Sus scrofa: one gene and its partner. The protein of the gene in region 2 interacts with the protein of the main gene of each other region in a pairwise test. Links are inferred from orthologs where the notes say so. Each region holds a gene or a part of one and is shown on either strand. Other genes may lie near its edges.

What was found.
Region 1: the proteins of RBFOX2 (region 2) and QKI interact in binary tests that used the Homo sapiens proteins (3 or more experiments, as listed by UniProt). The link is inferred for Sus scrofa from reciprocal best matches to the Homo sapiens genes RBFOX2 and QKI.

What each region holds. Positions count from the first base shown.
Region 1 is NC_010443.5:4,880,442-4,884,646, forward strand, and holds the start of QKI (protein quaking), read right to left. Parts: upstream 2,801-4,205; coding exon 2,659-2,800; intron 2,179-2,658; exon of another isoform or gene 1,375-2,178; intron 1-1,374. UniProt on the Homo sapiens protein: RNA reader protein, which recognizes and binds specific RNAs, thereby regulating RNA metabolic processes, such as pre-mRNA splicing, circular RNA (circRNA) formation, mRNA export, mRNA stability and/or translation.
Region 2 is NC_010447.5:11,807,902-11,811,949, reverse strand, and holds the start of RBFOX2 (RNA binding protein, fox-1 homolog (C. elegans) 2), read right to left. Parts: upstream 2,801-4,048; 5' UTR 2,562-2,800; coding exon 2,535-2,561; intron 1-2,534. UniProt on the Homo sapiens protein: RNA-binding protein that regulates alternative splicing events by binding to 5'-UGCAUGU-3' elements. Prevents binding of U2AF2 to the 3'-splice site.

The DNA.
Region 1 (4,205 bases), on a different chromosome or scaffold from region 2:
AAGTAAATCACCCAGAATAGAAAAAATGCGATGCACTTCAGAAACCAATATTCTTCTCAAGTCAAATTGTTTATAATAAAGCTAACAATTATAGGAAGCAGCTTATTCCACACTAAGGAATAGCCCTTTTTCCTGCATGTTTGTACGGGTCTGATAAAAAAAAAAAAAAATCAAACTTCCTAGGCATTATGCTGTCCCTTTTTAAAACATCCTTGCTACCATACAGAAGCAATCTTTACCCTTAAGAGCTGAAAAGACTAAATGATAGACTAAGGCAAGAGATGGATTAAGCCCCACTAAAAGGGGAAAAAATGTGGTGTCCAACATTTAAAACTCAAATGGTTACTATTTCCAACCAGAGAGAAATGGAACAAACCTTCATTAGAAATAACAATATAATTGGAATTATAGATTTAGAAGATTAGAAATCAAGCCAAAGGTTAGAAACTTTTTAACACAGAACTCCAAATTATCATTTAGAGATTTTAGACGAACTTGGAAGTACAAACGAGAAGGCTTTTAGAAGTAATCAGACAAACTCAAATTATTTACTTCAAATAGTACAAATGAAGTGAAAATATTTCTAAACTTTTTTTATAATCTCCTATGCTGTTTGATTAAATTCAACATATTAATTTAAAGAATGCAATTTAACTCTAACGTAGTCAATTTTCATTTACTATAAAGGATTCCTTCTACACAACTGGGCTTAAGGAAAAAAAAAAATCTTAAAAATTTTTACTACTAGTAAAACTTAACCTTCATCAAAATATGCCCAGAAAAAAATAGCGTATTACTTCAGCAATGTGATAAAATTTTTCCAACAGTTTTAAAGAAAGTGTTTTCAATGTTTTCAAATACATATATGGACACAAAATGACAAAGGAAATGATCTATGATTTAAGTTGCAATATAGGTCAGGTTATTAAGTTATGGTCCACATTTTGCTCCAAACATTTCTCATGTTTAAAAAAAAAATAACTGGCGCCCCTTAGCGCCCACATTTGGAAATACTCAATTTAAGAGTTCCAGCTTTTTTTTTTTTTTTTTTTTTTTTTTTTGACATTCCAGAAAGTTTTCTGCCTCCACAATCTTTCAAATGCCAACACAAATAGGAAAAGCAGAATCCCTTAAAGGGGCAGCTCAAGTTTTCTCCGGAACAATTTGATATTAACAAATTTGCTGTTTCAACTAGGAAAAAGCTCATTTCAAGATGGGCCACAGCTGTATACTTAACACACGTAAGCAAAAAAATGTGTTCGCAGTACGAGTTTGGTTCGTACAAAAAAGTACAAAATCTAACAGTTCTGTACTTTTAAGTTGTTTCTGTGACTTTCAAAACAAGAAAAGCTCCAGGGATTCTTCTTTAACCACCTTTTATCACGGAGACATTTCCGGTCTTTTGTTCTTTCGCGACATCCCAACTCTCTAATGTTCAGATTCCTTTTTCTCCAGCTCTATATGGTTAAAATTCCTCAAAATTCTTGTGAAAAATCTGGAATCCATTGTTCATTGTATAAAATATACTTTTCCGTTTTCGTTTAACAGTCCTCCGGGGATGCTTCTACACAGAAAAGAGAAACTCCTTGCTACTCGACTTTCAAAACAGACATTTTTGTTGGTCATATTTTTCCCTCGGCGTCCACAGACGTGCACAGCGACCAGAAATTAACACTCCGGGTCACTGCTACAAGACCTTGTTAAAGTAATTCCAGAGTGGGTCAAAATTAATCTTCTCGACATTCGTCGCTCCTCACAGCTCTCCACCAACACAGCGTTTTGGCAAACTTTTACTCGTTTTTATCGTCGCCCTTTCAAACGTCTTGATTTCCTGTCTTGCAAACTAAGGCAACGGCGTCCTCGGGAGAAGCTCTCCGCCGAAGTTCTTTGAAACTCGGGATTACGTTTACACTTGTCCTCGCGGTATTTCGCGTTCACACCCCCCCCCGAAGTGAAGTTAAACTCCCCAACAGTTCTCGCTTCCCCAAACAAAAGGACAAAAAGTGCTTTCCGCTGTCATTCGGTCCTCGCCCCGGGCTGAAGCGGCGTTACTCTCGGTCGGCTGTGGAACCCCTCTCAATTAGCGAGCCCACGCTACTCCCCTCGAGTACTCACAAGCCACGCAAACTTCGAAAAACCCAAAGCCCCACGGCATCTCCCAGTGGGGGAAGCGCCGGCGACCCGCGGGAAGGCCCCTCGGGAGCGGCCCCGAGCCGGTGTCCTTCAGGCGCCCGCGGGGCGCGGGGCGGGCAGGCCGGGCCGCTCCCCCGGAGGCCCGCGAGGCTGCGGGCCGTCGCGGTGCTCGCAGGCGCGGCCGGGAGCCGGGGCGCAGCAGGGCCGGCCTGCAGGCTCCCCCAGCGCTCCGACGCCGGCGCCCAGGCCGGCCCGGGCGGGGCGCGGGGGCCGGGACCCGGGGCCCAGGGGCCGGGGGGGGGGGGCGTCCCGCCCGCAGGTCCCGCCCGCGCCCCGGCCCCGGCGCGCCCCGCGAGCCCGGCCTCGGCGCCGCCTCCGTGCGCCCCGCCCGGGCCTCTCCGTCCCCGGGCGCACGGTCCCCGCCGGCCGCGACCTTCCCGCCCTCCCCACTCCGGCGGGCGTCGGGTCCCGGGAAGAGGGGCCGCCGCCCGGGCGCGGGCCCGAGGGGCCGGCGAGGCGACTCACCTTCGTCCAGCAGCCGCTCGAGGTGGTTGAAGATCCCGCAGAAGTTGGGCAGGCTGCTCATGAGCTTCTTGTCGTTCATCAGCTGCATCAGGTAATCTGGGGTGGGCTTCGGCTTCTCCTTCGTTTCCATTTCCCCGACCATATTCCAGGCTCCGCAGCTCACTCCGCCCGCCGCCGCCGCCGGAGAGGAGGGAGGGGCGGGGAGCCCCGGCCGCCGGCCGCTCGGGACTCGGCGTCCCGCTCCGCTCCGCTCCCGCGCCGGGCGCCGGGGCGGCCGGACCGCGCGCTCGCCGCGCTCTCCCCGCCCCCGCAGGCACTTTCCGCCCGCGGCCCGACGCGCTCCCGGCCCGCCGCCGCTCCTCGGCCGCCGGCTCGGCGCGTCCCTCACGAGGCCGGCGGGCGGGAGGCGGGTCTCCGCGGGCCGAGTGCGGGCGCGGGCCGCTCGGCGCCGGACGAGGAGGAGCCGGGCCGCCGCCGCTCGCTCGGCTGGTCGCGCCCGCTCAGCCGCCGCCGCCGCCTCTGCCGCGGGCTCGGGGTCTCTCTGGGCTGGTCCCCGCCGCGGCCGCCTCTGCCGCTGCCGCCGCGCTCTGACTCCGCTCCTCCTCTTCCTCCTCCTCCTCGCCTCCTCCTCCTCCTCACTCACTTGGCGGCGGAGTTCGCCTCAGTTCAGGCGGCGCTGCCAGCGGCGGCGGCGGCGGCGGCGCGGGGGGAGGGGCGGCGGCGCGGGGAGGGCCGGGGGCGGGCGGCGGGCGGGGCCGCGCAGGGCGGCCGTTAGCGGGGCCCGGCCGGCGCGCTCCTCCTCCCGCCGCCGCCGCCCCCCGCAGCCCCCGGCCCAGGCGCCGCCGCCGCCGAGCCGTCGCCCTCCGGCGGGGTGGGCGGCCTGAAGGGCCGGCGGCGGGCAGCGTGACGGAGGCGGCGCGGGGCGAGCCGGCCTGGGCGCCGGGGTGGGCGCCCCGGGCGAGCAGGAGCGGAGGGAGGGGCCGCTGCGGGGCCGACGGACGGGGGAGGGCGCCGGGTGGCTGTGCTTTCGACTGGGGCGGGGGCGCGGGCCGCGTCGCCTCGCGCTCCCCGCTGCCGGCCGGCTCGTCTGGCGGGCGCGGTCGGGCTGTGGCGTTTGGTGAGAGGGATTTCCAGCGGGACGGGCTACGGCGCGCCAGGGCTGCGCTCGCCGCCGCACGGCCCCATCCTCTCCCCCGTTATTATGGTTCTTTAAAAGCCTCCCAACCACCCTCCCCGCCACCCCGAAAAAAAATTTTTTTTAACGTCCTGTTGCTTCACGGGGGACTTTCGGGGTGGGCGTCACGTGGCCCGACACGTAGCCGTAAGGTCCGAGAGCGCGTGCGTGCGTCGAGGCCGGCGGCCACGCCCCTTCCGAGGGTCGCCCCGCCCCCGCTGGGGCCCCGCGAGCGAAGGGGGAGGTGCGGGGCCTGCCGCGCGCCTGCGTGGGGCGGGCGGGGGAGGGGGCGCGCCGGCGGGAAGGGGGAGAGCGAGGATGGGGCCGATCCCCGAGTGTTGGTGCGGAGAGCCCTGTGCGCAGCGGCCGGGCC
Region 2 (4,048 bases):
AAACCCAGCCTCATAAAACCAGAGCCTACATAGTAAAGCCTGCACAGTGTGCACCTAACTGTGTGACAAGAACGTCATCTGCTGAAGGTCCTTCACCTTCTGGCACCGAGTAAGCGATGGATAGTACAGGACAGAGAGAGGTGTTAAAGAAAGGAACCCGGTGACAAAAGAGTGAAAAGATAGCTAAATACTTTTCCTAATATACTAGTTAAGACACTAAAGACCCCAATAGACTGTTTAATTTTGATAACTGAACCCTAAACACTGCAGATAATTTCTATTCAGAAAGCTTATGTGACATATCATTACCAAATCGTGGGATTTGAGGTCTGGCTCAGAAAAACAAAAACCAAAGAAACCCCTTTAGGCCTAGTACACTTTCCCTTTCAACAACAAATAGGATAACCCCTCCTCAGAAAAAAATCCATAGCAAAACTGACAACACTATGACTTGAACCCAGCCAGAACTCAGACTGGGACTTGAACCCACGTGCCTATCACCTGGACAAATAAAAATCTGGCCTATGGGTTATTTCCTTTGATTTTTCCCCCTCTAGATTACTATCAACTATGTATGTTACATTAACATAGAAAGTGTATACAAAAAACAAACATGCTGGCATAGTGAAAATTCACAAATTGATGTTCTATACTTTGTATAAATTCAGCATAGGCAAAAATGAGTTACTTCTTCAGCCTTCACACGCACTGAGAAAATCATGATTTTAATCTACTAGAATTCTTAACCACCAAAAAAAAAAAAAAGAAATCCCTCTTCCCAGTTCCTACTTATCTCTTCTGCTTCGTTCCTAAAATTATAGTTTCCTTCAATACTGATTATTAAGCGCACAATACTAGGTGTGCAAATGCTTGTGCACCCTAACTTGGGCTTGTACACACTTGCTCTTCTAGAACTCAGGGGAAATGCTCCAACAGGCCATGGAAAGCCTCTGATTCTAAAAAGTCCTAGCTTAGATAACTCTTTCACTGATTTAAAAACATCTATAATGGAAAGTTAAGTAGTTGAAAAGGCTTTGGTAGTAGCTGAGAAAGAGCGCTTGTACCCTCTAATATGGCAGTTAAGGAAAGCTGGATGTGGGCTCCCGGGTTAAGAAGTATTGTCTCCCAAGCAACAAAGACAAGCCAGAAACACGTTTTCTCTTTTTTAAAAGGCAGAGCAATGTTTTGATTAACGAGTTAATCAGGCTAACGATGAAGGGATAAGAAAGTGGAAGAGCAACTGCTAAAACAAAAAAAACTGACTTTGGAAAGATATTATTCTTTGAAACTTCCCTTTCCTCTAGGTCACATTGGGAAAATCTCCCTAACGCCTTACCTCCTTCCAAACAGCACTGCGGGGCATTATATAACATTTAACTGGACAGGGTTCCAGCTCCTAAAATGATGCTCTACCCAGATAGCCAGCTGACTCTCTCGCCCTCCGGTGGTGACTTAAGAAACGAGACAAGAGAATATTAAAAAAAAAAAAAAAAAAAAAAAAAAAAAAAAAAAGGCAACCTCCTTAAAAGGAAAACCACTGTCCAGTGATGAAATTTCCCTACAGAGCATAAAAGCCTGGAGTGAAACTGATCCTAAGTCTGAGCTTAAATGACATGAATGTGCCACAATGCAAATAATCCTCATTGATAAATCAGTCTCTCAACCCACATATAAAGAAAAAAGCATAAAGGGACATACAGAAGGTTGCCAAGAAGAAAAAGAGCACTGCCGGGGGAAATCAGGGAAGAATATTCACCTTTCCATCTGTCAGGAATGACTTGCTAAAATGCAGCTATTGCCTGGCATAGCCAAAGACAGGCAGAGACAGACAGAGAGAGAGCGCGCTTTCATTTCCTACTCCCTCTCCTTCAGATGTCTTTTAATGCCCGTGGACTGTCATTTATACATTCAGACTTGTTCTTCTGCCAGGGAGGGCTCTGCTGCACCTGGATGCTACGGCTCTCACTGAAAACATCCTCTGCCAGTAACAAAGACACGAAAATGAAACATTTTTCCAGCCTTCATTTTTAATAAGCCATTTAAAGCAAAGGGAGCAGAACTACAATTCCACAGCCAATCCCGAGAACCCGAAGTGAATCCGGAATGAGATTTCCCTCTAACGCAAATTCTTCTGCAATTCTTAAAAGGAAGTGAGCTCCCTTGCCCTCTTTTTGGCAGTCTACAAGAATCTCTCCCTACCTCTGTGGTCCCTCCCTCCCTCCCTCTCCTCAGAACCAAGACAAAGAGGTAGACCAATCCCCACAGGGTCTTAACTGAGCTCCAGCTGCACAGCACAGGAAACAGGAATCTGCTACGGAGCTGGGGAGGGGGGGAGAAAAAAGGATACGGACACAACACACACACACACACGACTCACGACAGGCACAGACGAACACTTTTCAGCTGCTAGCAATAATTCTGTCCCTTTCTAAAAGGTTAATAAATTAAAACTCTGGTGACTATGCCCCACCCCCATATCTTTATTTAGATCTCAGAAACAAGAAAAGAAACACAGGAGGAAACACAAATCTTACCTGAGTTACCATTTTCTTCTTCTCCATAAACCGAATGGCACAGAAGATGAACACTTCAGAGCAGTCGTGCTGGGGCACACCTTCCACGGCTCTCCTTCCTCCCCCCTCCCCCCCCAGCCTAGCTCTTTAAGGGTGGGCGGTTGCTCTCCCTCTATCCCGTTTTCCTTCCTTTTTCTTTCTAGTGTTTCTTCCTTTCTTTTCTCTTCCTCTCTGGCAGTCTCTCCCCCTCCTCCTTTCTCCAGCTCCCTCCCATATCTCAGGCAGATGGCTGAAGGAAGCCCCACCCCTGAATGCCGAAGGTAATTAATCAGAGTAGAGCCCCACCTCTTCCTCCTCCCCCCGCCCCCTCCCCGCAGGCTGACATCTCCCAACTCCAGAAACAGGCCTGCTGGAGAATGGCAGTTTGGTGTGTGCTTTGCGCGTGCGTGCGTGGTGTGTGTGTGTGTGTGTGTGTGTGTGTGTGAGTGAGAGAGAGAGAGAGAGAGAGAGGGAGGAGAGAGGGAGGAGGAGGGAAGGAGGGGGAGAGAGGGAAGGGCAGGCGCCATGTGCAGGCATATTTTAAGGAGTGAGTATCTGCGATGGTGGCATTAATTATATACACAGGAAGTATTCACGGCAGCTTACCACAGTTAATACAGATTTAAAATATTCCATCTAAGAATATCTGATAATAAATAAATGAAAGAGAAATTATTTTTAAAAAAACATTTCCACTGATGTACAGTCTACAGATGCAGTGGATTTAATAAAAGATGAGAAAAGCTGCTCCGTGACTGGAAGGTTTTCAAGGAATGGAAATATGCAAGAACCTGCTTGTCCTAAACCAGTCTAATGGCTGCAAAGGACTGAAAAAGAAGGGAGGTAATTTAAGAGCTTATTTTTTCTACTGTAAAAAAAAATCAGGGGGATCTGAAAAAGGTGATTGCTTAAGAAACTTAAGGTGGATACAAATTGGACTGCTCAAGGCTTCCAGCTTTATTAAAAACTGTAGTTAACTCAGAATGTGCCCTTTGTGTTCCCCAGCCTTCTGCATCTCAGCTGCTACTGAAAAACATAAACCCTTTCTTACAGACACTGACATATATACCATGACATTTGTGCCATTACTGTAACTACTGACCGTTACTCTAGAGTGCTTATTAGATGCAGAAGGTTTGGGAGAATGTTCACTGAATATAAGAGTTTCTTCTAAGTTCTCTTAGTAAAAAGTCGTAATGAAAAAAAGCATCAAAGGTATGATTCAGTCCAAAAGTCCTGGTCAAAGTCCTAATTCTCCCCTTTATAAGTGATCTTGGAAAAGTCTTTAACCTCTGAATATAAGCATCATAATCTCCCTATTTTCTGTTATTAAATATTCAAACAAAGTAACCTATGGGAATGTTTGATGAGTTTATGATGTTCTTCTCAAACATAAAGATGCTCTCATTTTTTTTTAGTATTCTAAGAAATAAAATCCTGAAGGTTTTATTACATTTCTTAGTTATGCTATATTTATTATGTTATAATCCCTAGTA